Ovis aries: one gene and its partners. The protein of the gene in region 5 interacts with the protein of the main gene of each other region in a pairwise test. Links are inferred from orthologs where the notes say so. Each region holds a gene or a part of one and is shown on either strand. Other genes may lie near its edges. The genes, in order: TAL2, HNRNPM, IFT43, TLE5, LMO2, ABI2 and ZNF24.

The links.
Region 1: the proteins of LMO2 (region 5) and TAL2 interact in a two-hybrid assay, tested with the Homo sapiens proteins (2 studies listed by BioGRID and IntAct). The link is inferred for Ovis aries from reciprocal best matches to the Homo sapiens genes LMO2 and TAL2.
Region 2: the proteins of LMO2 (region 5) and HNRNPM interact in binary tests that used the Homo sapiens proteins (3 or more experiments, as listed by UniProt). The link is inferred for Ovis aries from reciprocal best matches to the Homo sapiens genes LMO2 and HNRNPM.
Region 3: the proteins of LMO2 (region 5) and IFT43 interact in binary tests that used the Homo sapiens proteins (3 or more experiments, as listed by UniProt). The two-hybrid records come from large-scale screens. The link is inferred for Ovis aries from reciprocal best matches to the Homo sapiens genes LMO2 and IFT43.
Region 4: the proteins of LMO2 (region 5) and TLE5 interact in binary tests that used the Homo sapiens proteins (3 or more experiments, as listed by UniProt). The two-hybrid records come from large-scale screens. The link is inferred for Ovis aries from reciprocal best matches to the Homo sapiens genes LMO2 and TLE5.
Region 6: the proteins of LMO2 (region 5) and ABI2 interact in binary tests that used the Homo sapiens proteins (3 or more experiments, as listed by UniProt). The link is inferred for Ovis aries from reciprocal best matches to the Homo sapiens genes LMO2 and ABI2.
Region 7: the proteins of LMO2 (region 5) and ZNF24 interact in binary tests that used the Homo sapiens proteins (3 or more experiments, as listed by UniProt). The two-hybrid records come from large-scale screens. The link is inferred for Ovis aries from reciprocal best matches to the Homo sapiens genes LMO2 and ZNF24.

What each region holds. Positions count from the first base shown.
Region 1 is NC_056055.1:17,406,267-17,410,396, forward strand, and holds TAL2 (T-cell acute lymphocytic leukemia protein 2), read right to left. Parts: upstream 2,801-4,130; coding exon 2,483-2,800; 3' UTR 281-2,482; downstream 1-280.
Region 2 is NC_056058.1:14,800,700-14,804,981, reverse strand, and holds the start of HNRNPM (heterogeneous nuclear ribonucleoprotein M), read right to left. Parts: upstream 2,801-4,282; 5' UTR 2,781-2,800; coding exon 2,668-2,780; intron 1-2,667. UniProt on the Homo sapiens protein: Pre-mRNA binding protein in vivo, binds avidly to poly(G) and poly(U) RNA homopolymers in vitro. Involved in splicing.
Region 3 is NC_056060.1:85,438,774-85,442,710, reverse strand, and holds the start of IFT43 (intraflagellar transport protein 43 homolog), read right to left. Parts: upstream 2,801-3,937; 5' UTR 2,773-2,800; coding exon 2,719-2,772; intron 478-2,718; exon of another isoform or gene 263-477; coding exon of another isoform or gene 257-262; intron 1-256. UniProt on the Homo sapiens protein: As a component of IFT complex A (IFT-A), a complex required for retrograde ciliary transport and entry into cilia of G protein-coupled receptors (GPCRs), it is involved in ciliogenesis.
Region 4 is NC_056058.1:18,528,392-18,531,272, forward strand, and holds part of TLE5 (TLE family member 5), read left to right. Parts: intron 1-648; coding exon 649-712; intron 713-2,055; coding exon 2,056-2,100; intron 2,101-2,725; coding exon 2,726-2,788; intron 2,789-2,881. UniProt on the Homo sapiens protein: Transcriptional corepressor. Acts as a dominant repressor towards other family members. Inhibits NF-kappa-B-regulated gene expression. May be required for the initiation and maintenance of the differentiated state.
Region 5 is NC_056068.1:63,296,662-63,300,888, reverse strand, and holds the start of LMO2 (rhombotin-2), read left to right. Parts: upstream 1-1,427; 5' UTR 1,428-1,569; coding exon 1,570-1,576; intron 1,577-1,699; coding exon 1,700-1,931; intron 1,932-4,227. UniProt on the Homo sapiens protein: Acts with TAL1/SCL to regulate red blood cell development. Also acts with LDB1 to maintain erythroid precursors in an immature state.
Region 6 is NC_056055.1:205,328,360-205,332,473, forward strand, and holds the start of ABI2 (abl interactor 2), read left to right. Parts: upstream 1-1,314; 5' UTR 1,315-1,352; coding exon 1,353-1,469; intron 1,470-4,114. UniProt on the Homo sapiens protein: Regulator of actin cytoskeleton dynamics underlying cell motility and adhesion. Functions as a component of the WAVE complex, which activates actin nucleating machinery Arp2/3 to drive lamellipodia formation.
Region 7 is NC_056076.1:22,076,439-22,080,568, forward strand, and holds the start of ZNF24 (zinc finger protein 24), read left to right. Parts: upstream 1-1,330; 5' UTR 1,331-2,113; intron 2,114-3,299; 5' UTR 3,300-3,378; coding exon 3,379-3,798; intron 3,799-4,029; coding exon 4,030-4,130. UniProt on the Homo sapiens protein: Transcription factor required for myelination of differentiated oligodendrocytes. Required for the conversion of oligodendrocytes from the premyelinating to the myelinating state.

The DNA of each region.
Region 1 (4,130 bases), on a different chromosome or scaffold from region 5:
GCAATATTACTCAAATGACAACTGTCACCAGAGTTTTGAGATGTGATATCATGTGGTAGTTTGGGGACAAATTTAAGTCCACATAAGCTCATGAGAACAATGAAAGCTCATGAGAAAGAAATGCAAATTTGGGGGAATCCCGTGGTTTCTGTGTTTATGTGTTTGCCTGGACTACTTTGAGTCTGTGGGGATGTTTATTCAATGCTGTTTAAAGAAAGGACCTACACACAAGAATGCATTGTTTTTTTAAAAAAAATTATTTTATTATTCTCATTACTTATTTTTATTTTTTGTCCATGCTACACAGCATGCTCTTTTTTTTTTTTTTTTTTTCCATTTTTTTGGGCTCCAAAATCACTGCAGATGGTGACTGCAGCCATGAAATTAAAAGATGCTTGCTCCTTGGAAGAAAAGTTATGACCAACCTAGACAGCATATTAAAAAGCAGAGACATTACTTTGCCAACAAAGGTCTGTCTAGTCAAAGTTATAGTTTTTCCAGTGGTCATGTATGGATTTGCAAGTTGGGCTATAAAGAAAGCTGAGTGCCAAAGAACTGATGCTTTTGAACTGTGGTGTTGGAGAAGACTCTTGAGAGTCCCTTGGACTTCAAGGAGATCCAAGCAGTCAATCCTAAAGGAAATCAGTCCTGAATATTCATTGGAAGGACTGATGCTTCAGTTGAGGCTCCAATATTTTGATGCTCCAATCCACCTGATGCGAAGAACTGACTCATTGGAAAAGACTCTGATGGTGGGAAAGATTGAGAGCAGGAGGAAAAGGGGATGACACAGGATGAGATGGTTGGACGGCATCACGTACTTGATGGACATGAGTTTGAGTAAGCTCTGGGAGTTACAGATGGATAGGGAAGCCTAGAGTGCTGCAATCCATGGGGTCACAAAGAGCCAGACATTACTGAGTGACTGAATTAGCTAACACGGCATGTGGGATCTTAGTACCCTGACCAGGAATCCCACAACCCCAGCATTGGAAGTGCAGCGTCTTAACTTCTGGACCACCAGGGAAGTCCTAAATGCATTGTTTTAATAAATGCATTGTGCCGTTAAGTGTGAATGCTGTGTAGAGTTTAATGACATTATGAACTTGCTGTTTTGATAATGAGATTCTGAGGATGACTCATCCAGATTTCTTCTGATCACCAAACCAAAGAGGTTCATTTCAGCCTTCCATAAACTGAATATTCTTTCTAGAGTGGGCAGAAAATTTAAATTCCTCTATTGTGTATATATATAATCTCAAACCCATCAATTTCCTACCTATAGTTCAGAAGGTTTTAAAACCAATGTTCTGTCAAGAATTTTGGGAAAATAAAACATTCCAGAGATGAGACAATCAAATGACATTATTTATATTCTGGGCTTAACTATGGGATTCATTTTTTAATCCAAGCGTTATCATGGTGGCATACGGTTGTGAGTTCTGCCAGATCCACGCCTTTCATTCTTTTGTGGGCACCACCCCTCCCAGTGCAAAACTGAGCTAATGCTCCTCAGCAGGGAAAACAAATCACATATCCATCAATTCATTAGAGTCTGGTATTACACTCCTATTGTCTACTCTAAATCTTTTGTTAAGCTCTCTGTTAAATGAGCTATTAAATGGTAATATTTAGATTTTCATCATTCTATTTGAATTTCACAGGTCTTAAATCATCAAGAACTCATGCTGAATTGAAAGTTTTCAATACCTGACATGTGAAACTAAAGGATTAGGAAAACTATTTTAGTACTTCTTTTCATAAGAAAACCATGAACTCTCACAAATTATCATGTCCTTTCCTCTCATGGGTATAATGTGCCATTTGGCTTTAGCGATAACACATATACTCGTGGTCCAATGCAAGTGACACCTCACATTTCCATAGAGATAGAGGATGCAGAGCTCTCCTGCACATATCTGCTGCCTTCTTGTGGTCCTCATGTGTCAGAAGGGTCTTTTATCCACAGATTCCCCACAAGTCTCCAGGCTGGTTTCTGCAAGAGCTATCTTTTCATTTGTCTTATGCTGTTCACCCTTGATCACATATGCCTCATTTTTCAGAACAAACTTTAAAATATGTTCGGAGGGTAGCATTTTCTACTCATCGATCTGCGATCCATTTTGAGGAAACTCTTCTTACAACTGAAAACATATTACATAAAGCAGTGATTTTCAAACCAGTTTTTTCAGTCTAAGGGTCATTTTTTCCCCCCAAATAACATCTTATGCAGGAACCTGGATTTATAAAATCAACAGATACAGGCTGCTCTGCCTGAAGCCCCCGGGGAAGATGTGTGGCCACCTCCCTTTGGCCTTCTTTTAGCATTCTGCAGCTGACCATGAGACACCTCCTATGAAGCTTGAGTTCACGCCTCACAAATTATTCACCATGCTGACTCTAGTACTTGCAAAAAGGCTGTTGACAGCTAGTGACTTCTGAACCAGTGCTGCCTGGGGTCACAACAGCCAGAGCCCCACTATCACGGAATGTGGTGGCTTGAGCCAGGTGATGGAACCTGGTAGTCACCAAGCAGAGTCCTGTCTGGCAGGTGGGGTCCTTGAGGGAAAAGGCCCAGAATGTTTCCGGGAGCGGCCACTCCTGTTTGCTGTAGGCTCTGCTCTCCCAAGACCTTCACCAGGAAGTTGATGTACCTCATGGCCAGGCGAAGTGTTTCATTTTTGCTCAGCTTCTTGTCCGGAGGGTGAGTGGGGATGAGCTTCCTCAGCTTGGCAAAGGCACTGTTGACGTTCTGCTGCCTCCACCGCTCCCTGCTGTTCGTGAAGATCTTTCTGGTCATGTTGGAGTTCCTGAGACAAGAAAGAGAAAGGGCCCTGAGGGCCAACACCTTGTCAGAGGCCTGCTGGGTAGCCCATGTCCTGCCAGGAGCTTGAGCCGTTCATCTTTTCCACCCAGATCTTAGGGGATGTGCTGCCTCATTTCCAGGTGTTGTGGATCTTCCTGTGACAAGAGAAGAAAATGCGGCAGAAGAAAGGGCAGTGAGAACACCTCCTGTCAGCTTTTCTCTCCCTGGTTGTCTCGAAGCCTGCAGGTAACATGGTGTTTTTATCCTAATACTCCCGTTACTTCTTTTATAACCAACTCTTCCTAAGTGTTCAGAATCAGGCACGGCGTAGGACTGAGTACACATGAGAATAAAATACATATTTGTTAATAGGGAGTTGAATTTAGATTCTTTAAAAGGGGGGAGGGGGCTGTGATCCTAGGTTTCATTTACAACATAAATTAGGAATGAAGAAGGTGACAGCAAAACCCTTCTGGGTGGTGGACTTTATCTGTAGGATTGGGCGCACTGTGTAAGAGCTAAAATGTCTAGACCAGACCACAGTCAGAGGAGGATGAACAGGGTGAGGAAGAATCTTGAAGTCCAGTTGTATGAAGAATAGCAATGGGGTTATTTAGCACGCCAAACAAAGAAAAGGAATAGGTGAAGGGCGACAATTTGATATGGATGCTGCGGAAGATAGCCAGGCTCCCCAAGGTTGAATTTGGATGATCTTTCCAACCGTAGGCGAGGTGATTGTTATCACGTATTGCCAATCCTAATCGTGCCATTTTTTCCTCTGAGAGGCACAGGCCCCTTTGTTCAGGTGGCTTGGATTAACATACATCAATGGCAATGTTTATGGCACATCAGGAAATAAGCCAAAACCCAGCACCAGACATTTGGTACCCTTGGCTCATGGCTATCAGTTTGCTACCTGCTCCGGTCTCAGCAGCCTGGTCAGAGGGTCCCTTCCTGTTCCCCACACCACCACCTCCCCCCACCAAAAGAGTAGTAAATATTCCCAATTCCATACCTTTGCATTTTCTGTCCCATGAGTTCCCTCCTCACTGTTTACTTGCCTATTTCTACACAATCTTTAAAGAGCAGATTAAATCCTTCTTTCCATTCCTACAAACCCTTCCAGGCCATCCCAGAGTCTCCCATATCCTTCCCTTGCTGAACCCCTGCAGCCACTGGTGGTAGACAAAGGCTATTAGGAGAATTAAATAAGCTTAATATTTGTAAATCACTTTCAACAGTGCCTGACACACAGTAATGGCTATAAAAGTGTTGAGGAATAAATACAACAAAAATATGTTTATAAATAAAAATGACTTGTGAA
Region 2 (4,282 bases), on a different chromosome or scaffold from region 5:
TGACTGTCCTTAGATGGATGCATTTCTCATCAATGTAAGAAAAAAAACAGCCAGCTTACAGCTGGCAGAGAAAAGGAATTGCAAAACAGGTTGTGCTTCCCATGGTCCTCATGCAGCTTGCTGTCTCAGTGCCTTTTCAGCTTTCAGCACACTCCACTTCTGGTGGATACAAAGGTGAGAAGAATCTAGTCTCTCATTTCCCATCCCGCAAAAGTGGCTCAGCTGATAAACCACTTGCAATGTGGGAAACCTGGGTTCGATTCCTGGGTTGGAAAGATCCCCTGGAGAAGGGAAAGGCTCCCCACTCCAGTATTCTGGCCTAGAGAATTCCATGGACTGTATGGGGTCACAAAGAGTCCGACACCACTGAGCGACTTTCACAAAATCACAAAAAAAGCTCTCAAGATAAAAATCTGAACTCCCTAGTCTGGAATTCACTGCCCACCAGCTGGCCCCCAGTGCTCCAGCAGTTTCAGTTCTTTACAAAGAAAGTGAAAGGAAAATGAAGTTCCTTATAAATATATATCAAACATGTCAAAATCTTTGAACACTCCTCTGCTTCCCTCCAATGATCACCTTTCATCCTCCTCCTCCTAGGGGAACACCTGGTCGCCCCCAGCAGCTTAGGGTTGGAGGAGGGGAGACCCTCCAAGCTCCCCACCCCTGGTAATGCCTTTTACTTATATCACTTTACTACAAAAATATCCATTGGCCCCTCCCTATGAGCAGGGGGACTGTTTTCTAAAGAGTTCCGCTTTAAAAGCTCCCCGATGCAAAACACACACACACACACAAAAACACCCAAAATACAAACTTTTCCAATGGCCCTACAAAAAAGACCTAAGTGTTCCTAACAGCCTAAAATATTCTCTATTTAAACAGTCTCAGACTGAGGTTCTTCCAACAAAGACTTTTAATTTCTGAAACCTTCAGATTTTTTCTGAAGGCCATGTTTTATGTTTGTCAAATGAATCAGTCACAAAATGACTATTTGGAAATGGACTGTGGAAAATGGGAAATTTGGAAAATGTACCCCAGATGCTATAATCTGTAACTAATAACTTCTCACCTAGCACGATTCTAGCAGCACTCCATCCTGTGATAACCGCTTTGAAAAGGAAAAAAAAAAAAAAAAGACATAAATGTATATCTTAAAGGCCTCCAAACATAGTCCTCAAAAATCCTACCAGGCTCCCTTAAACAAGTTATTTTTAAAAAGTCTAAATGAACACGTCCCTTTTCAGTTTTCAACAACAAAAGAGTTGGGATTACTTCTAGGATGCCTTTTTCTTGATTTCCAAGGTATTTCGCTCCTCCCTACCTCAGGAGAGAGAGTTTAACAATATAGCTAGTATTCAGTGAGTGTTCATTAGCAAACTAACTACATTCACTTTTAATCCCCATGAACTCTAATTATACACATTAAAAATTGGTGGGAAGGCAAATCCATAGGAGACAGAACGCATAGCACAGGTATACAGGAGAGGTGAATGGTTAACTGTTTAATGACTACAGTTTCTATTTAGGGTGAGGAAAAAGTTTTCAGCGTGGATACTGGTGATGTTGCACAAAACCGCGAATGCACTAGATACCACAGAATCATCCACCTAAAAATGGCTGAAACTGTAAATTTCACCAGATTTTTTTAAAAAAATGTATGTGGGAAATCAAAAGTGTGCCCAAGCCTTCCCCTCACCTCCCCCTACAGTTGGCGGGCGAAGGCAAAACGTCTTTCCGCACCTCTCAGGCGACTGTAATCAGAATGAGTGGGGTTCAGCGGAGACACAAGACGATGCTTTAAAGTTTTAAGAAAACTTTCAAAACAGAAGACCTGAGACAGAGCCCCCAAAAGGACTCGAAAGGGTGACCGAGTTTGGAAATGGATGAACCCGCCTAATGATGCAAAATCTTCCCCTAGAACATGGAAAATGTTTCCCTTTTTCTTTCTTTCCCCTTAGACTTTGTTTCTACGGCTGAACACTGAGCAGCAGATCCGATCGCTCCACAAATACCTACTGCTCACCTGGGGAGGAGCTGAGGCTTGGGGCAAGGGGCGGTTCCGACCGAGGCACTTCCCGCGGGGCCTGGGGGGTGGGGGGAGGAGAACCGCGCGCGCCGGGGCGGAAGGGGGAGGGGGAGTCCGGAGCCGTCCTCGCGGTCCTTCCCGATACCTACCCGCCTCCGCTACCGTTTACCGGGACCGACCGCGCGCGAGGTCCTGCGTGCGCACTCCCTCCCCTATCCCCCACTTTACGGATCGGGAAACTGAGACCCCGGACGACGGCGAAGAGACGTGAAGCCACGCGCCCAACCAAGGTCACCCGACAAGCCAGCAGGTCGCGGACTCCGGGTCTCGTCGGCTCTGGGGCCCGCGCGCCATTATCCCTGCGCGCAGAGGCCCGGCCTTAGGCCTCAGCGTCGGACCCGGTCTGGAGAGACCAAAGGAGCTGAGACCTGATGCCTGGGAGGGAGCGGTCCTACAGGCGCTCACGGAGCCGCCCGGCTTCCCCCCTCACGGCCTGGCCCGCCTCCACCCTCGGCAGACCCTGAGGGGAAAGAAAGCCCAGCTGAGGCCGCGCCGGGAGGAGGCCCCAGCAGATCTAACGGAGCCGCCGCCAGCCACCGCGAAAGCGCCCAGCCTGGAACAAGGAGCCGTAAAATACTCACCCTTTCGGGCCCGGAGCTCCGTTGCCGCTTGGCACGCCAGGCGCGCCGCTCTCCTCCTCCATTTTGGGCTCCGTCGCCGCCACCTCGGCCGCCGCTTCGACCCCTGCCGCCATTTTCTCCGCGTCTGGGCTTTGTGTGAGCGAGAGTGCTGCGCGGCGCTGCGCCTGCGTGCTCACGTGACTCGGCGCGACCAGTAACGCCTGCGCGCGCCGCGGCGGCCTCCGGTCTCCTTCCCTCTGGACCCGGGCCACGCCCCTGCTCCGGGCCACGCCCCCGCCGCGCGCTAGCACGCACAGTCCGCTGTTATTAATTCATTCTTGCAACAAACTTGTTTGGCGCCTACTGGATACAGTATCCGCTCTCCAGGTGTAGTTGTTATTATGGCTCAATCGTGTCCTATTCTTTGCGACTCCATGAACTGCAGCATACCAGACTTCCTCGTCCTTGATTATATCCCGGAGTCTGCTCAAACTCACGTCCATTGAGTGGGTGATCCCATCCAACCATCTCATCCTCTGCCAGATCTAATGAGGGAGGCATCTCTCCACCCGCCACACCTGGACCTCGTCACTCCCAGCTTTGTGTAATCCGAGCTGGGGTAGAATGACAGCTAAAGGTCTGTTTCCTAGGCTATAAAGGAGTTAGCCAGGCAAGGGTAGGACACCGAAGGGCCAAGCAGTAGGACAAATGTGCAAAATGTTAACAATGTCTCGTTAAGAAAGTATCTCATCCTACACAAGGAATACCTGGGCTAAATCCGGCGTAAGAATTCTGAGTGCAGAGCCCGTGGCCCAAATCTCTGTCACTAAACAGCCATCAACTAACAACAAGGTGTCTAGCTGGAGACTTCCTTTGTGTTTATGAATGTTTGTTAAGTGAGTGCGCAAGCAAGAAGCCAAACCTGTTGATAGAAATTACATGATAAAAGAGACGATTGGACTCATTCCTGCCTGACCCTGCGTCCTGCTGCTCTGAGAGCTTGGCCCTGTCCTCAGATGGGTTTTCAGGGTTGATACAGGGCTGTGTTCTGGGGCAGCCACAGTGGCCTGGGAAGAGCCCAGAGCCCCCAGCACTCAGTCCTCAGGCTCCCTTCCCCAGCAGCCGCCTCTCTCTCTGGTGTCTCTGGTACATTGCAATGTTTCACTGGAACTTGCAGACATTCCCATCTAACCCCCAAACTCTCTCTAAACTCACAAAGGGAAAGAGTTTTGTTGGTTTGTTCTTGTTCTTGTCATTTTACCCTCTCTCACCGAATAACTACATTTCATCAGCCTCTGGGAAACTCTCCCACTTGCTACACCTTCCACCAAATTAAATACTTAATCCAGCCTGGTGATTCTGACCCTGGCTGAGAACTGCAGGCCCAGAGAATAAATTCAGTAAACTCAATGTGAGGCAGAGGCTAAGCCTCTCTCTGCTATGGGGGTTTGGGGGCTTCCCAGGTGGAGCTAGGGCTTCCCAGATAGCTCAACTGGTAAAGAATCTGCCTGCAATGCAGGAGACCCTGGTTCGATTCCTGGGTCGAGAACATCCGCTGGAGAAGGGCTAGACTACCCACTCCAGTATTCTGGCCTGGAGAATTCCATGAACTGTATAGTCCATGGGGTCGCAAAGC
Region 3 (3,937 bases), on a different chromosome or scaffold from region 5:
TTCTACCCAAAGAAATGCAGCTAGAACTTCCTCTAGAAGGGACAGGGAGCTCATGCCACAGCTCAGGCAGAGTATGGTCAAGGCTCCCATGTCCTGATGTGGGATTTCAGGAGGGCCTAACTTCAAAGTTGCAGCTTGGCATGAAAATAGTTATCAAAAAGGCGTTTGGTGGGGGAAGAAATTCCATGGAAACTGAAACCAGAGAAATACAGATAGCATTTCCTTTGACGTATATGCTAATTGGATTTGCACTTACAGACATTAAAGGAAAGCTCTTATAAGAATTTTCTGAGACATCAGCTTTGGGAATCAGAACACTTCAAATTCTGAGTCATCAAAGGACCCATCTGCAGGTGTTTCCCAAAGCCCTCCTAGGGTGGAGGGCTCCATCTGTGTCTCCAATGCCTCCCAGCACATACAAACATTATTTGGGCAGACTGGAGGGTGTTGAAATGTTTATATTTTTCTTTTCTTGTTCTTAAAAAAAAAAAAAAAAAACCAGCATTACTGTAAGCATTTTTAGATCTCATCCGATGTAGCTTCATTTGATTTCACAATAATAGGGGCTCAGACTGAGGCCATTTTACAAATGATGTAATTGAGACCCAGGAAAGCAATAAAGTGGCAGATAAACATAAGAGCAAAATCTCTGCCTTCAAATTCTGAAGGCTTTTTCTGTGACCTGCTGGAATTTCAGTTCTAAGATGTTCTAAGATGATCAATAAATTGAGAGAAGTTACATGAGAGCTGCAAAAAAAACCATTATGTAGTGTTTACACATGAAATTCTAATCAATCATTTAGATTTCAGGAATGACAGAAACAATATTCAGACAATAAGCAGCTCATTTTCTTCCCAAGGTAGACAATTCTACTCCTTCACCTGTGGCTGCCCTTTTCCATATATGATAACATTGGGTATCCGAATATGGCATATTACACAGAGTGACTGTGGTCAAACAAAACTTCAAGGATCTTGTCTCTACTGTTTATAGATGGTTTCTCTAGTATATTTGTCAAGGATTTTAAGGTTTTAAACTTTTGGAAGACGCTGTATAAATCCATAGGAATGACTGGTAGAGAAACTACATTACTACCTGGTTTTATATATTTTAAATGTATGGTCTCGGGACTTCCCTGGTAGTCCAGTGGCTAACATTCCAAGCTCCCAATTCAGGGGGCCTGGGTTCAATCCCTGGTCAGGAAACTAGATCCCACATGCTCCAACTAAGACCTGGCACAACCAAATAAATAAATAAATATTTTTTTAAAAAAATAAATAAATAAATGTATGGTCTCTTTATTGCCCATCTTCCTCCATTGAAACATAAGCCCCATGAGGGCAGGGGCTTAGTTTTTCTTTTCACTGTTATATTTCTAACACCTAGGACAATCAATGCCTGATACACAGAAGGAGCTCAGTAAATATTTGTTGAAAGAATAAATGAGTAACTACACTCATTTTCTCCCGGTACTAAAAAAGTACACATATCAAGAAAGGCCTGATGACATAATATTCTCCTTGGTCAGTCAAGCAACCTGCTTCTTTCTAGAACAATTTGCTCCCATTCCTCATATCTCCTCTCTAGCAATTTGGAGGCTATCCGATGTTACTAGGGCACTTCAAGACATGTAGAGATTCCACGGCAGAAACTAAAGACTTGTGGGCCAATCTTTTGTGACCCTGATCTTCAGTAATTTTAAAGGTAAAAAGGCTTGGTGAGGCTGTGATGGAATTAAGAGACACACACCGAACTTGGGTCTTGAATCTAGCTCAGTTATCTATATATATACACGTGCTAAGCCGCTTCAATTGTGCCAGACTCTTTGAGACCCTATAGACTGTAGCCATTCAGGCTCCTCTGTCCAAGGGAGTCTCCAGGCAAGAATTCTGGAGTGGGTTGCCATGCCCTCCTCCAGGGGATCTTCCCGACACCCGGCTATAACCTTGGGTAAATCACGACCTCAGAAGCAACAGCCCTAACCCTAACCACAGCATATGCCAGTTGCTGTGTTACATGCTTTCCAGGCACGTCTCGTTTCATCTTCACCTCCTTGAAGGAGACATAAATCTCCACTCTAGAGAGAAGGAAATCGAGGTTAACTTTCTTTAACCCATGCAACAGCTTTACACTCCCTCTGACCTCTGGGCTCCCCACCTCGCCTCCGGCCACGCCCTCGCTCTTTAAAACTGAGGGAACGCCCATCTCCCCTGGGGGTGAGTGGAAAGAAAGACTCTCCCTAACTCCTTTCCCTTCGTCCACTCTGAAAACAGTACGGTTTTTACTTCAACTCCTGGCGTGACATGGCCAAGGGAAAAAGCTCTAGCATGAGTGCAAGTGTGACCCTCGCCAGGGCACCTCCAGTCACTCTCAGATCTATCTGTCCATCCTTGGGAAGTTGGCAAGTTGGAGCTCCAGAGAGCGGAGAGAAGCTGGGAAATTTCCCACCGTTCTCACAGGCCGGCAGGGGCAGGATCTGTTTTCCAGTCTTTGAGAATTTTAAGGAAAGCAAACCCTAGGCCAGCAGCGGAGCTCACCGCTGCCCCAGGGGCGGGGCGAGGGAGGCCGCCTCCTCTCCCGCAAGGCTCAGAGCCTGCTGGCTCCTGGCGCCAGGGACAGGCTGGGCCGAAGCGGCTCAGGGAAGCCAGAGCCGGCGGGGTCGCCCCTCCCCACCCGCTAATTCTTGGCCCCGATCCCCGCCCCGAGTCGGTCCTCACGGAGGTGGCCGGGCCGCGACGCCGCTCCTCGCCTAGGTCCAGCAAGTCCTCCATCTCTGCGGCTGCCTGACGTCACTTCCTGGAAACCCAGACGCTCAGCCGCGTCCCTGACGACGGCTCCGCCCTTTCACTCCAAGACTTAAAGGGTCCGCTTCATTGTTTCCTGGAGTGTAGGTGCCATCCTCAAATTTAAACCAAATCTTTCCTAAACCTACCTTTTATGACATTTGGAAGGAATCTCCACATATTAAATCCTGATGAGGGTGCTCCTGTGGGACAGTGAAAAGTTTTAGTTTTTAGAAACTGCCTACCTCTGTTCAGTTCAGTCACTCAGTCGTGTCCTACTCTTTGCGACCCCATGAACTGCACAGCACACCAGGCCTCCCTGTCCATCACCAACTTCCAGAGTTTACTCAGACTCACTGAGTCGGTGATTCCATCCAACCATCTCATCCTCTGTCTTCCCCTTCTCCTCCCGCCTTCAATTTTTCCCAGCATCAGGGCCTCTGTTCAAATAGGTAAGTTGTAAAGTGCAAAGCACTACTATTAATAGTAGTAATTATTCTTATCCTTTTCATGTGTATAGCTCTTGTCAATGTACAGAGGAACTTCACAGTTATTAGTGCATGGAAAATGCATAACAACTTTGTAGGAGACAAGATAAGTTATACTATCTCCATTGAACTGACACCCTGAGGGTCAGGTGCTAATAAATGACTTATGATGAGAAGTGCAATATACCTAATTTCTGCCTTCAAGAAGTTGACAGAGCAGTTGAACCAACACATCAAATATAACTATCAAAAGTACAAATAACCCCTTCAAGCCCCCATGAAGTGAGCAAAAGTAGTATTTCTATTCAACAATTGAAGACAGTGAGGTGCAGAACAGTACCTTGAGGAAAACCACCTGAGTATTAAGCAGCAGAGCCACATGCTTTTCTGACCCCAGGTCTTACTGGTGTTTTTCTCTGGCATGTATTACTGGGTGCCAGCCAGTCTCCTGGGCCAGTAGAGGAAGATGGTCCCCAAATTCCCAGCCTAATGGGACTATCGAGTTGAGTCTTCATTGACTCTACATATAAGGTTCCCTAATTCAATAACACTGACCAATCCTTGGTACTGGGGACTGCCAGCTGGGACCCCAGAACTTGAGTTCATGGCCCTGAAAGTGAAGTGTCTCCAGCATCATCCTAGGCATAAGGCTTTAGATGGCTTCT
Region 4 (2,881 bases), on a different chromosome or scaffold from region 5:
GGGCCTTTGAGAAATATCCAAAGCTCATCCTTGCTGGGGCAACCCAAGAGAGGAGGGGGATCACCAGCTCTATTATCCAGTGATAGAAATTTATACCCCTCCCCCAACCATGGAAATCAGAGGTCACAAGATGGGCTGGGGGCCTTTGAAGATTCCTTACTGAATTCAGTCCAGAGCCCTGCCAGTGGGCTCTGGGCCCTTGTAACCTCTCAGCAATGTCTGTTTATTCCTTCTTTGCTGGAGAGTTTTGCCCAGTGGGTGGGAGTATGGCCTTTGAAGCCAGCTTCCTGGCTGTGTGACCTTGAGCCTGTTCACTCAACCTCTCTGAGCATCCATTGCATCATTTTTATGAAGGAGACTGACGTTAACAGCCCTGACCTCGTTGGATTTCATGATAGGAAAAAGTTTCTTTGAATCCCTGTCTGACCTACAGTCAGGATATTTGCTCTGACTTCTGTTTTTATTATTTTCATTGCTTTCTCCACCCCCACATCTTCAAGGTGGGTTTCATCATCCCCAGTTTCCAGCTAAGGCACCTTTGGGTCCCCTTCCCCCCTCTTCTCTCTGACCCCCACCAAAGTTTGGGGCTCCCTTGCACAATGAGGGGGACATCATCCCAGCCCTGGCCCTCCCCCTCTTCTTCTTCAGTCTGAAACTCGAATGTGACAAGCTGGCCAGCGAGAAGTCAGAAATGCAGCGTCATTACGTGATGGTAAGCCAGCCCGGGGGTCTGGTGGGCAGGGCCAGAGGACCCCAGGTCCCCCTCCAGCACTGGCAGCTGCTGTCTGAACCCTGGCCATCTCCTCTGGGATGTGCGAGAAGTCAGGGTCTGCTCTCCGCTCAGCCAGCCCCTGGCCGGGCTGAGTTAATCTTGTTGGCCTGGCTGCCGGCCCAGGCAGTGGCCGAGGTGCCAAGCCACCGGGTTGCGGCCTGGGCCTGCCAGGTCCCTGGCTGTCCTTGGCAGCGGAGGAGCCAGTGGCTGTGAAAGCCAGGAACTGGGGTTAGAGGGGGGTTGTTGATCCCTCCCCTCCCCACCCCCACTGTCTAAGCATCCCAGGCTTAACCCCTCCTAGTCCAAGCTTGGAGGAGGACTCCTGGAGGGCCCCCTTCCCCAGGCAGGAGGCTGACACTCTTTTGAGGTGGGTGGGTGGAAGGGAGGGAGGGGGTGACACTTCCTTCTTGGGCCTGACATTGGAGACCCTGCCCCTGCACACTGCTGGAATCACTTGCTTCGCTTCATATGCACCAGGTGGTGATTTCTGCATCAAAACCCCTGCCTAAGCCCAGCCCAGAGCCCACTTCCCCCAGGCCATGGGGGAGGCAGAGCTGGACAAGGAACCTCTGGATTCAGAGGGATGGGGCTGGGGCACTCCAGAAGGGTATGCTCCTGTTTGGAGAAAGACTGCATGGAGAAGGAGGCACTGCAGCTGGGGTCCTGATGAATGGATAGGAGCCAGCTGGGCAGAGAAGGGGAGACCACACAAACCTGGCTTTCTCCCCCTATCTTCCCTGGGGGGTGATGGGGAGTCATAGGAAGGTTTAGAGCAGGGGAGGTGCAGGGTCAGATGTGGGGCATGAGGAGGGGGGGCGCTGGCCCCAAAGGCAGACCCAACAGGATTTGTTTATCCTCGATTATTTATACCCAGGAAGACAAACTTCCCTGGAGTCCGGGGCCACCCGCAGACAAGACACATAAAGATAAAAGATTAGGAGCCTTGGAGTGTGTGTGTGCCTGTGTGTGTGTGCGTGTGTGTGTGCGTGCGTGCGTGCGTGTGTGTGTGTGTGTGTGTGTGTGTAGGGGTTGAGGTCATTATTCCAGAAATGGGGCATTCAGGGCCCCACTGGCGTCCCTAGCATCCTCACCAGGCACCTGGGCCCCAGCTCCAGGTGTGGGTGTCTCCCCGCTTCCGACTCCATCTCTCTCGCCTGCCCTCCCCTCCTCCTACCTCTCTCTTTCTCCCCCTCTTTGTCTCTCTCTGTCACTTCCCCTGTGTCTTTTGTCTCTGGAACCTCACATCCTTCACCCACCCCCATTTCTGTCTCCCCCCTACACAGTACTACGAGATGTCCTATGGCTTGAACATCGAGATGCACAAGCAGGTATGCCCCCTTCCCCCCTCCTCCGCCCCCCTGCCCCGCCCAGGCAGGTAGGAACCCGCCACCCCTTGGCTGAGAACCAAGACTGCCTTGGTATCCTGTTACCTCCGGAGCCCCCCCACTTCTGTTCTTTCTCAGGCCTCCCTGGGAGGTTGCTCTCCCTGAGGGGGAGGGCAGAGGCTTTCCCAGGACCTGCCACCCTCACTCCATTGTCTCTCTTTTGTGACAGCCCTGGGGGAGGGGGGTGATATGACCTGCCAACCCACCCTCCAAACCCTATCTCAGGTGTGTTAGAGAATTCTGATGCCAGCTGCCCCGACCTCTTCCTCCCTCCCTCTCACGGAATGCTCACTACCTGTGAGGCATCGGGCATCTTTCCAGGGCCACCCAGACCCCAAGCCACTGGGCCTGGATTTCGCTCTGTCCTGGGCTCTTAGCTACCCTCAGAGACTCAGCCCCCGGGGCCACTTTTGCTGCTGATCGGGTGCCCATGGGCCTGATGAGTCGATATGATCCTGGGACTTGCCGGCCTCCTCTTGGATTAGACAGAACCGCTGGGCTTTCCAGGGCTGGTCTGCACCTGCCCTGGCTGGCTGCTGCCCAGGGCTGAAGTGTCTGTCTGTTCCAGGCTGAAATCGTCAAGAGGCTAAATGGGATATGTGCCCAGGTCCTGCCCTACCTGTCCCAAGAGGTGAGCAGAGCCCCCGGGGGTCTGCTGGGAGGAGATAGACCCTGAACTTCCCTCAGCCCCACCCCTCTGTAGGCATCTGTGTGCCCCAGGGCA
Region 5 (4,227 bases):
CCATAGGGACCTAAGCTTTGGACATGGACATAAGAAAAGGACAAGAGCATGCAGACAATGGTAAATTCTAGGTATGCATGTAAGAAGTTAGAATCAGCTTTAAACAAGGAAAACGAAGCCTACAGGGATGTACTTCTGACTTCACCTTCCAGGGTGATTTCATCCAGACCCTTCAGTGCCATCTTTAAAAAGGGAATACAGTGTCCATGACCATGATCTAGACTGCTCCTATAAAACCATGGATCCTGAGAATACTGGTAGTTTCTTCTTTACAAGACTTGTGGCACGCTCAAGTAGGCCTTTAGTAATAATTTCTGAATGCAATTATTTTCAGGGATCTCTGATGAGGCCCAAGGGACCTAAAGCTTTGCTCTATTGAAGAGAAGACTTTTAGCTTCCTCCTCTCCCGTTCTACATTCGCCTCTCTTCTTGGAGTTTGCCCTTGAGATTAGATGGGGAAGCCTGAACCAAACAAGTCTGCGTTCTCTCTCTTTTCCTGACCCAGGGCAAAATAGTCTCCAAGCATTGCTCTCCATCATTGGAGAGGCACTTTTCTCTGTGAAGAGTGCTATTGGCCCTTTACGGGGCCAGTTTAACTGTAGGGGTCCGATTTTTAAAGATGCTGAGGGAGGGAATTCTGCCGCCGGCAGATGGAGAGGAGACTCAGACCAGCTTGGTCCCTCCCAAACACCCTCCCTCGGGATTAGCTGCCCCTGGTGCTGCTGAGGCGTACCCAGCCCGTGCGGTCCCTGCTCGCACAGCTCCCGTCGTCTTTTTGGAGCGCGGACGCAGTCACAAGTCCTCAGCCAGCAGAGCCGCGCTGTCTTGGGGGCATCTCCGCGTTCCCTGGCCGCGGACCTGGGACCTCCAACCCCGGACGCGCGCGAAAGCCACTTGGAACGCGTACATCTCTGTATGTGTTTATTTCACATTTTCGTTTTTTCTTTCTTCCTTGAGCGGCCCGCTGGTCACTTTCAATCTTAGTTAACCAAAAGGGGAACGCCGAAGAGGGAAAGCCCTAAAGAATGCTTCACAGGCAACCCAGCCGCCTCTCCAAGGAGAGGTGGTCTCTGAGCGAGTCTCCCTTGTCCCCGACGCTGGCCCCTTTAAGAAGCCAACTCAGTCTTGCTGCGGCTGCCGCTGTTTGTATCGCTAATCCCCAGGAGCCCCGTTTAAAAAAAAAGGGAAGAAAAAAGATGGTGGTGGCGGGGGGGACCGGGCAGCTGTCTCTTTAAATGTGATTTCCTTCTATTGTATTTGAATCGTGATCAGGAAAAAGGAAATGAAACCAGAGACAGAGGGAAGCTGAGCGAAAATAGACCTTCCCGAGAGAGGAGGGAGCCGGGGGAGAGAGGCGCGGTCCCCTCCCCGCCCCCAGGCCGCCGCCCCCTCCCTGCCCTCGGCGGCGAGCTGCGCGCCGCGACCCCGGCTGAAGGTGCGAGGGGCGCGGGGCGGCCGGGCGGGCGCGCACCATCCCCGCGGGCGGCGCGGAGCCGGCGACAGCGCGCGAGCCGAGCCAGACCCGGCGGCGGCGGCGGCGGCGGCGGCGGCAGTGGCGGCGGGACCGGGATGGAAGGTTAAGTCCTGAGCAGCAGTAGCAGCTGCAGCCGCCCGGGGCCAGGCTGCGCGCCCCGGTCCCCTCCTCGGCCGCGGCGCGCCGGCAGCCCGGTGATTCGCTCTCTCTCTTTGGCGTTTGAAGGGAGCGCGGTGACTGTCCTTGAGCGCGGAGGGGCGAGCTCGCCGCCAGAGCGCCGGAGCAAGAAGAGGCGCAGGAGCGGCGGCGGCGGCGGCGGCGCCCGAGCACCCGAGGGGGTCCGAGCCCCGGCAGCCGGCCAGCCCCGCGCCACAAAGGGAGCGCCCCCGCCGCCTGGCACGCCACCTCCCTCCCCAATGTCCTCGGCCATCGAGAGGAAGAGCCTGGACCCATCTGAGTAAGTGTGACGCCCCTGCCACCGAGGGTCCACGGCCTCGCGACCCGGAGCGGCGGGGTGGGGCGGGCGGCCGGCGGGAAGGCTCCAGGTGCGCGCCCGCGGCGTGCCCTTGGTTCCCTCTGCCGTGCGCGGGGCTCCCGCATCCTCTTGGGTGACCCCGGGGACACTGGGAGAGGGGCTGGTGGCGGGCGGCAGGAATGCGGTCGGCCCGGCGCCTCAGCGGGCCCCTCGCGGCTCCCTGGGACGCTCCCTAAAGCCACTTCGGGCCAGAAAGTTTGCACAGGAGCATGCACAAGGGGAGGTCAGAGGCGCGCCGGTGCAGTCCCGAGAGCCTTCAGGACTCGATTCTGCTCCCTTTTCCCCTCTCGTTCCTTCTCTTTGTCCGTTTGGTCCTGGAAAGGGGGACACTACAAGTGGAGCCCCCCACCCCGGGTCCCCGACGGTCCCCTTCCGGGTCCGCAGGTGGAGCGGTTGCCCACGGCGCCGGGGACCCACGGGTGAGGAGGTGCGAGAGTTCACCTCGGAGCTCACCCAGGCCTCCAGAGACTTTAGAGCAGCCGAGCAACACGGGAGTTAGTCTGGATACGCGGACACGCCTCTCCCCTCGGAGTCCACCGATGGGTACCTTTGAACCTCCAAAGTTAGTGCACCATTTTGGATATAGGTGAATTTTTCCGGAGAGCGGAGTCTTAAACGGCTTTTGTCACAATCTCAAAGGGTTTAGGGTCTGGGAAACAGAGCTCTAAATGAACCGCATTTGTTTTCTGAGCCCATTGCTCAGTGTTAACATGGGGAGAGAGGGATGTTTAAGATGTCATTTTCCCGTCAGCGCAAATGCCCTTTTAAGATTCATTAGCTGTCTGGTTTTGAGAATTTTTATTCCTTTGAAGTCCCCATCTAAATCCTTTGAAGGGATTTGTTACACAGACCAAAGGAGCTGGTTAATGACTTGTCCATTTGTGCTTTTAAGAGGCATTTGTTTTGTTTTGTTTTCTTTTCCTGCTTTAAAAGAATTGTGCTTTCCTGATTGAAATACCTCCTCCTCCCAATTTCAGCCTCCTATGGTGTTTATATACCTGGGTTTTACCAGCATAAAAGCTCAGCGTGTTCTCATAAAACACAGGAAGTAACCATGATCCAGTGAGAATATAAACATCACTATTCAATCTTGAAGGTTCAGAAGCCAGATCTACAAGGAGTCAGGTTTGTTCTAACAAAAACCCAGCTTCCTTAAATTCTCAGGGAAAAAAATAACATTGCTTTTTTTTTTTTTTTTTAAGTATTTGTTTAGGAAAACTCTGGGAAGGGTGCTTTGCTCACTTTTTTTTTTTTTTTTTTTTTACAAACCTAGAATGATAACTTAGCCCTGAGTTTTCAGAGCCTGGGCAAGATGATAGTAATACAATAAGAGAGTGCATTGGATGAATTACCTTTGAAAGGTGCCTAATGCCTTTTCGATCAATAGAACTTAGTCACTAATCTTTTTATTAGAAGATAAATCTGGAGGTTTCAGTTCCCTGAAGGAAGGTTGCTCCTTTCAAAGTTTGTGCTTTTTCACAAAGAGACTGGAAAATTGAAACATGTTCACCTCATAACACAGCAGGCATCTGCGGAAGGATGCTCAGTAGGGTGCTCTTCTCTATCCTTTGCTTCACTATTTGCCCAGTGAAGATAGGCTTTAATTGGAGATGGACCAGCTAGCTGAGAAATTATTGCAGAACATTTTTCCCCCATATCTTTCTTGGAAACTGTTGAGAAATTATCCCAGAAATCCAGGCCAAAGTGTATTGAGGTGTAATGTTCAGATAGGCTCTAGGAGAATGTAAAATATTAATTAGAGGGTGAGTCCCACAGTTATTGGCTTGGAACCTCCACCAAAGATAATGTGATATTATCTTTAATTATAGAAAGATAGAGCCAATATCTTATTCAGTCCTTTCCTATCTCATATTAGGCCATCACAGACAGTAGCTTTTTGGCTTAACATTTCCTCCTGTGGACCACTACCCTACCAGATGCTTCAGTGAGTACATACTTGGGTCAGTGTGACTGAGGTCAGTCTGATCAGCAACTCCAAATTACACCCAGAAACTTGCCTAGGCCTATGCAAATGAAACATTTAGACAGAAAGACAGCCAGAATTCACACACACACAGATTTCCTCTACTGTGCCGTCGGTGGCCCCTCCTGCCTCCCTGTGAATAACAGGAGCAGTTCATTTCAATTCCAGGCAGTTTTGCACCAGCTAAGTGCAAATTCTCTTCTTTCACAGTTGGTTGGCAGGATCTGCGTCAGG
Region 6 (4,114 bases), on a different chromosome or scaffold from region 5:
ATCCTTTAACTTGGGTTACACAGAAAAAACTCAAAACAATTTGCCAATGTGTATATCAAAAAGCCAATAAAACAATAGGAAAGCATTAAAGTGATTTGAGACAGTAATTTCCTCATTATCAGGGGAGAAAAAAAAAGGAGGGGCAAAATCACTAGGCGGGCCAAGAGATCACAAATACAAGACTTGAAATAATAGATCTTGCTCTAAACTGCAAAGGCAGTCAGCTTTGACTTTCCATGGTACAAATAAAGGTCATGGACTTTATAATATCTCAGCAGTTGTCAGAAATTTCAGTTTTTAAAAATTACATGTGTGGAGTAGTCAGATTTAGGGGAAAAAAAATATACAATACAGAATAGTAACTGCAAGACCAAAATGGTCTACCTTGAATTTTTGTGGCATTTAACGTTTTCCAAGGTGCTTTCATATAAACTTTTATCCATGTAATAGCCCTGTGAGGAAGGAAAGTACCAGCAAAATCGTTTTTTAAACTTTAAATCCTTAGTAGATGAGGAAAAAAGTTGATAGACTCAGGAAAGTGATAAAAACGATTGTCACTGAAGAGTAGCACAGAGCAAGTGGGAAAAGCTGAAGGCCAGAGGATGGGCAAAGGAGAAAAGAACCGAGGCTAACCTGGCAGGGGAAACTGTTGATTGGCAAACAGGTGCAAAGAAGCTGGAGGGCAGGAAATTTGGGATTAGGAAACTGAAATTTATTTATCCAAAGAGGATGAATACGGTCAAAGATGAGAAAAATTAAAAGTGGGGCGCAGTTAAAGCTGCATGGGAGTTCAGTGGGGCTAATATTATCCCTCAGGCCCACTACCATAAGGTTGGGCCCCAGGTTGAGGATAACGCCGAGGAAAGTCGCTGAAGAAGCGGGCGGGAAGACCGCAGAGCCGGGTGGGCGTTCACGCCGGACTAACAAAGGCCGCGGGGTGCACTGCCCCAGCCACGCATCCTGCGGGGGCCGAAGGGTTAACCGCGAGCTCAACTCCCGCGCGCATCCCGGCCCCCACTCCCGCGGTCGCTAGGAGACGCCGGATGTGGGGGAGGGGCGGGCGGCGCGACCAAGGGTGGGAACCTTTTTCGGGCTCCCGGGGGTGGAGGGAGAGGAGCGCGCGTGCGCGCGCCGGGCCGGCCGTCGCCGCGGTGACCGTCCTCCGAGTCCATCGGCTCGCGCCCCGCCCCCGTTCCCGCTGCCCCCTCCCCTGTCGCGCGCTCAGGGGGTGTTTCTCGCTCCTCCCGGGTTGCCGCCGCCGTCGCCTCGGCTCCTCCTCTCCTAGTCTTGGGTTTCCCTGGCGCTACTGCCGCCGCTGCCTCTGCGGTCTGTATGAGGAGGAGGATGTGAAGATGGCGGAGCTGCAGATGCTGCTGGAGGAGGAAATCCCGGGGGGCCGCCGGGCCCTCTTCGACAGTTACACGAATCTGGAACGGGTGGCCGATTACTGCGAGAACAACTACATCCAGGTGCGACGCATCTGCCGGCCTGGGCGTGTTGGGCCTCTGGCTGCTGAGCGGCGCGTGGGGGACCCCCGGCCCGGGGGCCGCGCCTGGGGGCGTAGGGCACACGGGGCCGAGGCCGCAGCAGGGACACAGTGCAGCTGAGCAGGGGTAGAAGCAGGGTGGGAGCGGGAGAATGGGTGAGAATTCTCCGGTTGGAGGAAATTGTAGCTTTCAAGCATTTTTCAAAAGCCGTGAATCAGTTCTCGGTGCGGGGTGTGTGTGCGTGTGTGTGTCCCCGCCTCCTCTCTTCCCTCGGCCGCCTCCGCAATCGGTGCCGGTCAATTTTCGCGATGGCGGAGGAGGCGGAGAGTGGCATTTTCTATTTGACAGAATCCTACTCCCCCATATGGCAAGGATTTGGGGTTTAATGGGTCGCCCCCAATCTCTGGAGGATTTTTGAGGCGCTATATTGCTGCAAAGTAAAATGCCGTAGCTTTATATTCATTTGAATGTATCAAAAGCTCAGCGTGGTTTTTTTGCCTTGTTTTTAGGTTCTAACTGAGGATACAGTATAAGAGCAGCTGTCCCCCTTGTTGGAAGTTAATGCCAGTTTTCTTCTCTATGGAGAATGAGAAGCTGCATGATAATGGTTTATTCCCTTCTGCCACCCGCCTCCAAGCCCGTTAGAAATAGCTAATTTGCCTGCAGGGAAATTTTTTGTGATTATCTTTCAGAGAGAAATGGGAAATAATTCTCACGGTTTAAATTTTCCGTGATGGTTGGTTTGGCATCGGGACTCAGTGATAGCACTGTATGTTTGTGTATGAAGGCGGGGGGTATTGGGTGAGATGAAATTGAGCCTCTTCTGGAAGAAGCAAGATTATGTGATTAAAAACAATTCTTTTTAAAAAATTATTTGAAAGGATAGTTTAAGATGCACAGTTTGCAAAGTCAGCATCTTTTGTTTTCTTTATAGCTTATTCTGAATCATAGGTTCTACCTCCATCTTTTCCCTTCCCATTTAAATTCTCTTGGGATATAGGTGGAAATGGAAGCAATGTGTTAAATTGTTCCTTCACTATGGCCTTTTTTCCTTCTCCCACCTCCATCTCTCCAGGCATCTTTCCTAACATCAGCTATATTGGGAAGCATTCTCAAGTCTTGGTGTGAACCAAAGAAAAAAAAGGTGTTAAAATTTATAGGTTCATAAATTTTGTAAGGATCATATGGTTAATCAAGGATAGTGTTGTAAGATATTACTTGATTGGACATATCCTGAGCACTATATTTTCTTGTATGGAATATTTGTACTGGAGAATGAATCAGACATAATCCAAGGCTTTTCCCTCCAAAGAGAAAGTTGAAAGTATGGCCAGCAGGAAAAGATAGAGTGTGTCTTGGGTCAAAGGCTCATATAGACAGTACAGATGTCCATATTCATGGGGTGCTTTGCTGATACTGAGTGTGGTAGGAGAGAGTAAAAGGTTGAGATGCTTAGTTTTCACTAAATATATTTGAAAGTGTAATATGGCCTGGCATTGTTAAGAGTTGATAGGTAGCTAGTGTCTACAGAATTTCATTGTATAGTTAGTGGGAAGGCTGATCTTTAGCAGATGAATTCCATTTTGAGCGTCAGTTTATATTCTTAATGGGCTGCAGGTGGGAAGAAGGACTGGAGGAAACTATGCTATCCTCACTCTGGAAATTCAGAGTCTCTAGGAGAGGCAAATTAAAAGGACTGAAGTAGTCGTTACAATTCCTTGTGCAACATATGGGAAAGAGTTACAGGTCTCAGAAGAGAAACAGGGTGGAAAGTGATTGGGTTGCAGTTATCACTGCTAATTTTTTTTAAAAAAGTTCTCTTTGTTTGGAAGATAATTTTTATTGTAATTTGAAGGTATAGTTCCTCTTAGGTTGCAGTTGTTACCTAAAGGTAAAAGTACCTGAGTTGATAAAGCTGAGAGAGTGAAGCGATCAACCATTGTCATCACTATATTCCTTGCGGTTCAAAGGAGAAGAATGTTGCTGCCATCATTTGTCTTAGCGGTGGGACTCAGAATTTAATGCGGTGTTTTAAAATTCAGAATATAAGTGCTGATTAATAGAAATGGATTTGGATTTTAAAATACCTTGTTTCTTCAATTTAGAACCTAAAATAGGTGCTATTAGGATCCAGTGGGTATATTATTGGCGTTCTCTCAACAGATGACAACTCGTACATGATTTGTTTGTAGTAAAGTTGATAAATAGAACATGGTGATAGTGGATTTGTGCTGACTCAGCTGCACATTTGGCTGGCTCTTCCTGTAACCATCGAACTGACCAGCAGGGCTTCTGATGCAGCCTGTGACCCTGCAATAGATGCAAGTCAATTAGTGATCTGATGGTCAGGTTAGCCTTATTATAGCAACATGTCCTAACCACTAGCTCAAGTTAACTTCACCTGACACTCATTTTATTTTGTGCAAGGACAGTTTTTGCCTGTAAAGCAGGAAAAAGACATTTATTGATAGGTAACATGATAAGGTTCTTTGCTCAGCATCCTTAAATGCCTGGTTTTATGCATGAGAATATAAAAATAAGATAATATTCTAAATGTGGATTACATTTAGTGTAAAAATAGAGGAAAGGAAGAAAAATGGTGGTGTCCTTCTGAAAAGGCATACTGT
Region 7 (4,130 bases), on a different chromosome or scaffold from region 5:
GAGGATGAGATGGTTGGATGGCGTCACTGACTCAATGGGCATGAATCTGAGCAAACTCCAGGAGACAGTGAAGGACAGAGGAGCCGGGGTGCTGCAGTTCATGGGCTCACAGTCAGACCAGACTTGGCAACTGACCAACCACCGTGTAGCAGGCAGTCAATATCCTGGGATTACTATGTGGAGATACTGTGGTGAATAAGGCAGGCACAGTCTCTGCCTCTATGGGTCTTATGGACAAAAGCAAAACAAACAAACAAAAAAATAGAGAAGTGAATAAATGAGATCGCTTCTACCCAGTGCTATGAGAGAGGGGAGGCTTCCAGGAGGAAAGGTGGTCAGGAAGGCTGAGGATCCAGACCACAATGAGCCTATAGAGCTGGAGAGTGGGGGTGGGGGCAGGGAACAGACTAGTGGGGCCTTACAGGAAAATGTAAGGAATTTTTATGTCATAATTAAGACAGTAGGGGAAGATTCCCCTGAAGGAGGAAATGGCAACCCACTCCAGTATTTTACCTGAAAAATCCCAAGGACAGAGCAGCTTGGCCGGATACAGTCCATAGGGTGGCAAACACAATGAGCAACTGAGCACAAGCAGGAGTAAGGCAGTTAGGGATCCATTAAACGTCTTTACATAGGGGAATTAAGTTGTCTGATTTCTGTTTTTAAACGATCACTTTGGCAGCTGCTTTGTAATATAAACTGTCAAGCCTCAAGTCAGAAAATGACCACGCATTCTGCAAATTCAGTGTGAGCTCACTGCCAAAGCTCTTGGTTAAGAGTCTCATCTTGTTTCCCTGACAAGTAAACTGGTCATAATAAAGTTGTATGGCATAGCAAGTAGGAGGCAAAGGTGAGAGTCATGCCTTGGTTTCAAATCTTGTTTCCCACTCACCAGTTATGAGCACTCCGCAAGCTATTTACTTGTGCCTCAGTGATCTCAGCTGTGAAATGGGAATAACAAAAGTACTTACTATCTCAGCGTTGTTGTGAAAATGAAATTACATGTAAAGCACGGTGACAGTGCCTGGTACAAAGTAATTAACATTCATAAATATTCATAATACTTCTTTCAGAGAACTACTGTGACGATCACATGAGATAATGCATGTGAAAAGGCTTATGAAACCGTAAAGACTGTCTTAGTGGCAGAATTCTTTCTTTTCCTTGTCTTTCAAGCGGAACCCAGAAGGCTGCGATACCGGGGGAGGAAGGCGCGAGGCCAAGCGCAGCCTCAAAGCAGTCATTGTCGTTGGACAGCCCTTCCCCCGGCCCAGAGCACATCTCCATGGCAACGTGGGGCTTCGCCTCCCCCCCGCCTCCTGGGGCCCACAGACCGGAAGCAGTCCGCGCCGGGGGCTGCTGGGAAACGGCTCGTGAGCGGCGTTTCTGCGTCGGCCGAGGACAGCGAAGCGGCTGTGGTTCCCGAGCCCGAGGTTTGCGCGAGTTGGGGGGAAGGGTGTGAGAGACGCTGGCCTGGGGGCTGCAGACTGCTTGACAAGAGTCAGCGAAGAAGCCTGGCGGGAACCTTCCTCGGCTTCTCCCAGAGGCGTGGGGGACAGGCCGCGGTCTCCGTGCCCGGCACTTGTGGGACGGGCAAGGGAAGACGAAAAGCCAGATCGGGCTTTCAGCACCCTCGAAGAGTCCTCCATCCCTTGTGTCCTTCGCGACCCCCGACTTCCCCTCCCCCATCGGCCGGTTTTGTTCTATTTCGAGGCCCTGGCATCTCGCGGAGAATTCTGGGATTCTTCTCGGGCGGAGGTGGGAGTGGGCGGGCCTCGCGCGGGGCCTGCTGGGACTTGTAGTTCAGCTGGCCGCGGGCGGAAGTGCCGCGGCTCGTTTGCTGTTGTGGCCGGGTGGCATTCGGTCTGAGGAAAGCCGCCGCCGCGAGTGCAGGGAAAAGGGGCTGACGTCGTTGGGGTGGGGGCGCGGTTCGAAGCGGCACTCTGCAGGAGTGCGTGGGGAGGTCACTTGGGACCGGGCTCTCCGCCCAAAGACGGTCGGGACCGCGGACCTGCGCTCCCCGCAACTCCTCACATCCCACCGCCAGAGTGCTGTTTGAGAACGTAAAAGGAAGAGAAATGTCTTTTCTGTAGAGTGCTTGAGCCGTAGAAAGGTAGGGTCTTGGAATAGAAACAGATCTGTAGGCCAAAGCTACGTGTTTATAAGGCCGCCACACTCCAGAGTATTTAATTAAACTTGTGTGTATGTTACCTGATAAGATCTTTTCTGATTCCTAGTTTTGGTAGGGTTACAGGAAGTTTTTGGAAATTAGCTTTCGTATTCTGGGGCGTATATGGGTACATTGAGCAGCTGCGTGGCTCATTCTTAACGGGTGTTGTAGACAATGGCATGGGCATGACTGTGCAAATACCAAGGAAAGGATCAGAAATAGCACAAGGTTTCCATGAACGTAGTAGCTGGGGAGATTGTGAGTCATTCAGTGTCAGCGGAAGAATCTGCACCACAAAGGTGTTACGAGAGTTCTTTTTTCCCCCTAGAATTTGCTGATTAATGCCTGTCGTTCCTAATTTAAAGGTATTTATGGTGTGGAGGGTAACTGAAAAATAATTAAATTTTATGGCACATAGTGGTTCCTTTTTTCCAACATTATTATCTATTCCTGACCAAGTGAATTTTTTTAACGTGTATTTAAAGTCCTAGGAGTTCTTAAACATTTAAAAAATAACTGTTAAACGTTTTGTGAAAAAAAGTTTTTTTTAACAGATAGTAAAAAAGCAGTCCCTGCTTTTGAGATGACCTAAGTGTGTCAAGGAACACCAGTATTGAATTGTAGATAATGTGTTCAAGGGTCAGATGCATTTAGATAACACTGAGAAGGGCTGGTTCTTAACTTGGATTCTTTTGATTGTTGAAATAGGTTTTGTTCATAGGTTGGCAAACTTTATCTCTAGAGGACCAGGGTAAATATTAGGTTTCTCATGCCCTATAGTGCCTATTGCAACTACTCAACTCTGCTATTGTAGTGTGAACAAATGAGTAAAATTATTTATGGAGACAGACGATTTAATTTCATGTCATTTTCACATGTAATGGAGTGTTCTTTTGATTTTTTTCCAACCATGTACAAGTGTGAAAACTATTCTTAGTATACGCATTGTACAAAAATGGGCAGCTGGCCAGATTTGGTCATGAGCTGTAGTTTGCAAACTTCTAGTTCAGGTTATTGATTGGCATTTTTAATCTAGTAAAAGAACACATTTTTATTTCCTTTAATCAGTCTGTGTCCAGGTTCTTAGAATATTTAGTCATTTATAAATTTTTCATTTCTTGTGCCTCAGGAGTGCCTGTGAAGAAAACTGGGTATTTCCCTAAGGTATCTTGCCTTGATTGTCTTTCCTTGAAGTATCACAAATCAGGATGTCTGCACAGTCAGTGGAAGAGGATTCAATACTTATCATCCCAACTCCAGATGAAGAGGAAAAAATTCTAAGAGTGAAGTTGGAGGAGGATCCTGATGGTGAAGAGGGGTCGAGTATCCCCTGGAACCATCTTCCTGACCCGGAGGTTTTCCGCCAGAGGTTCAGGCAGTTTGGATACCAGGATTCACCTGGGCCCCGGGAAGCTGTGAGCCAGCTTCGAGAACTTTGCCGTCTGTGGCTCAGGCCAGAGACACACACAAAAGAACAAATCTTGGAGCTGGTTGTACTGGAGCAGTTTGTTGCCATCCTCCCCAAGGAGCTACAGACTTGGGTTCGAGAGCATCATCCAGAGAATGGAGAGGAGGCAGTGACGGTCCTGGAGGATTTAGAGAGTGAACTAGATGACCCTGGACAGCCAGTAAGTTTCCTGTTAGGAGTACTGGCGTAGCAGTATTCACAGCTTCTGAATTAGTTCCACTCAACTAAGTTAGAATTATGTTTATGCTTCCCCTCCCCCCCCTTCATTATTTATGCTGCTTTGCCCTCTAGGCCTCTGCAGCATATGTTTTGTATGATTTCTTTGGTGTGTGTTTTAGTTTTGATTCTCATCAAATTCCTTCTCAACTGAACCAATTCCTATCATTTCCAGGTTTCTCTTCGTCGACGAAAACGGGAAGTGTTAGTGGAGGAGATAGTATCTCAAGAAGAAGCTCAGGGATTACCGAGTTCTGAGCTTGATGCTGTGGAAAA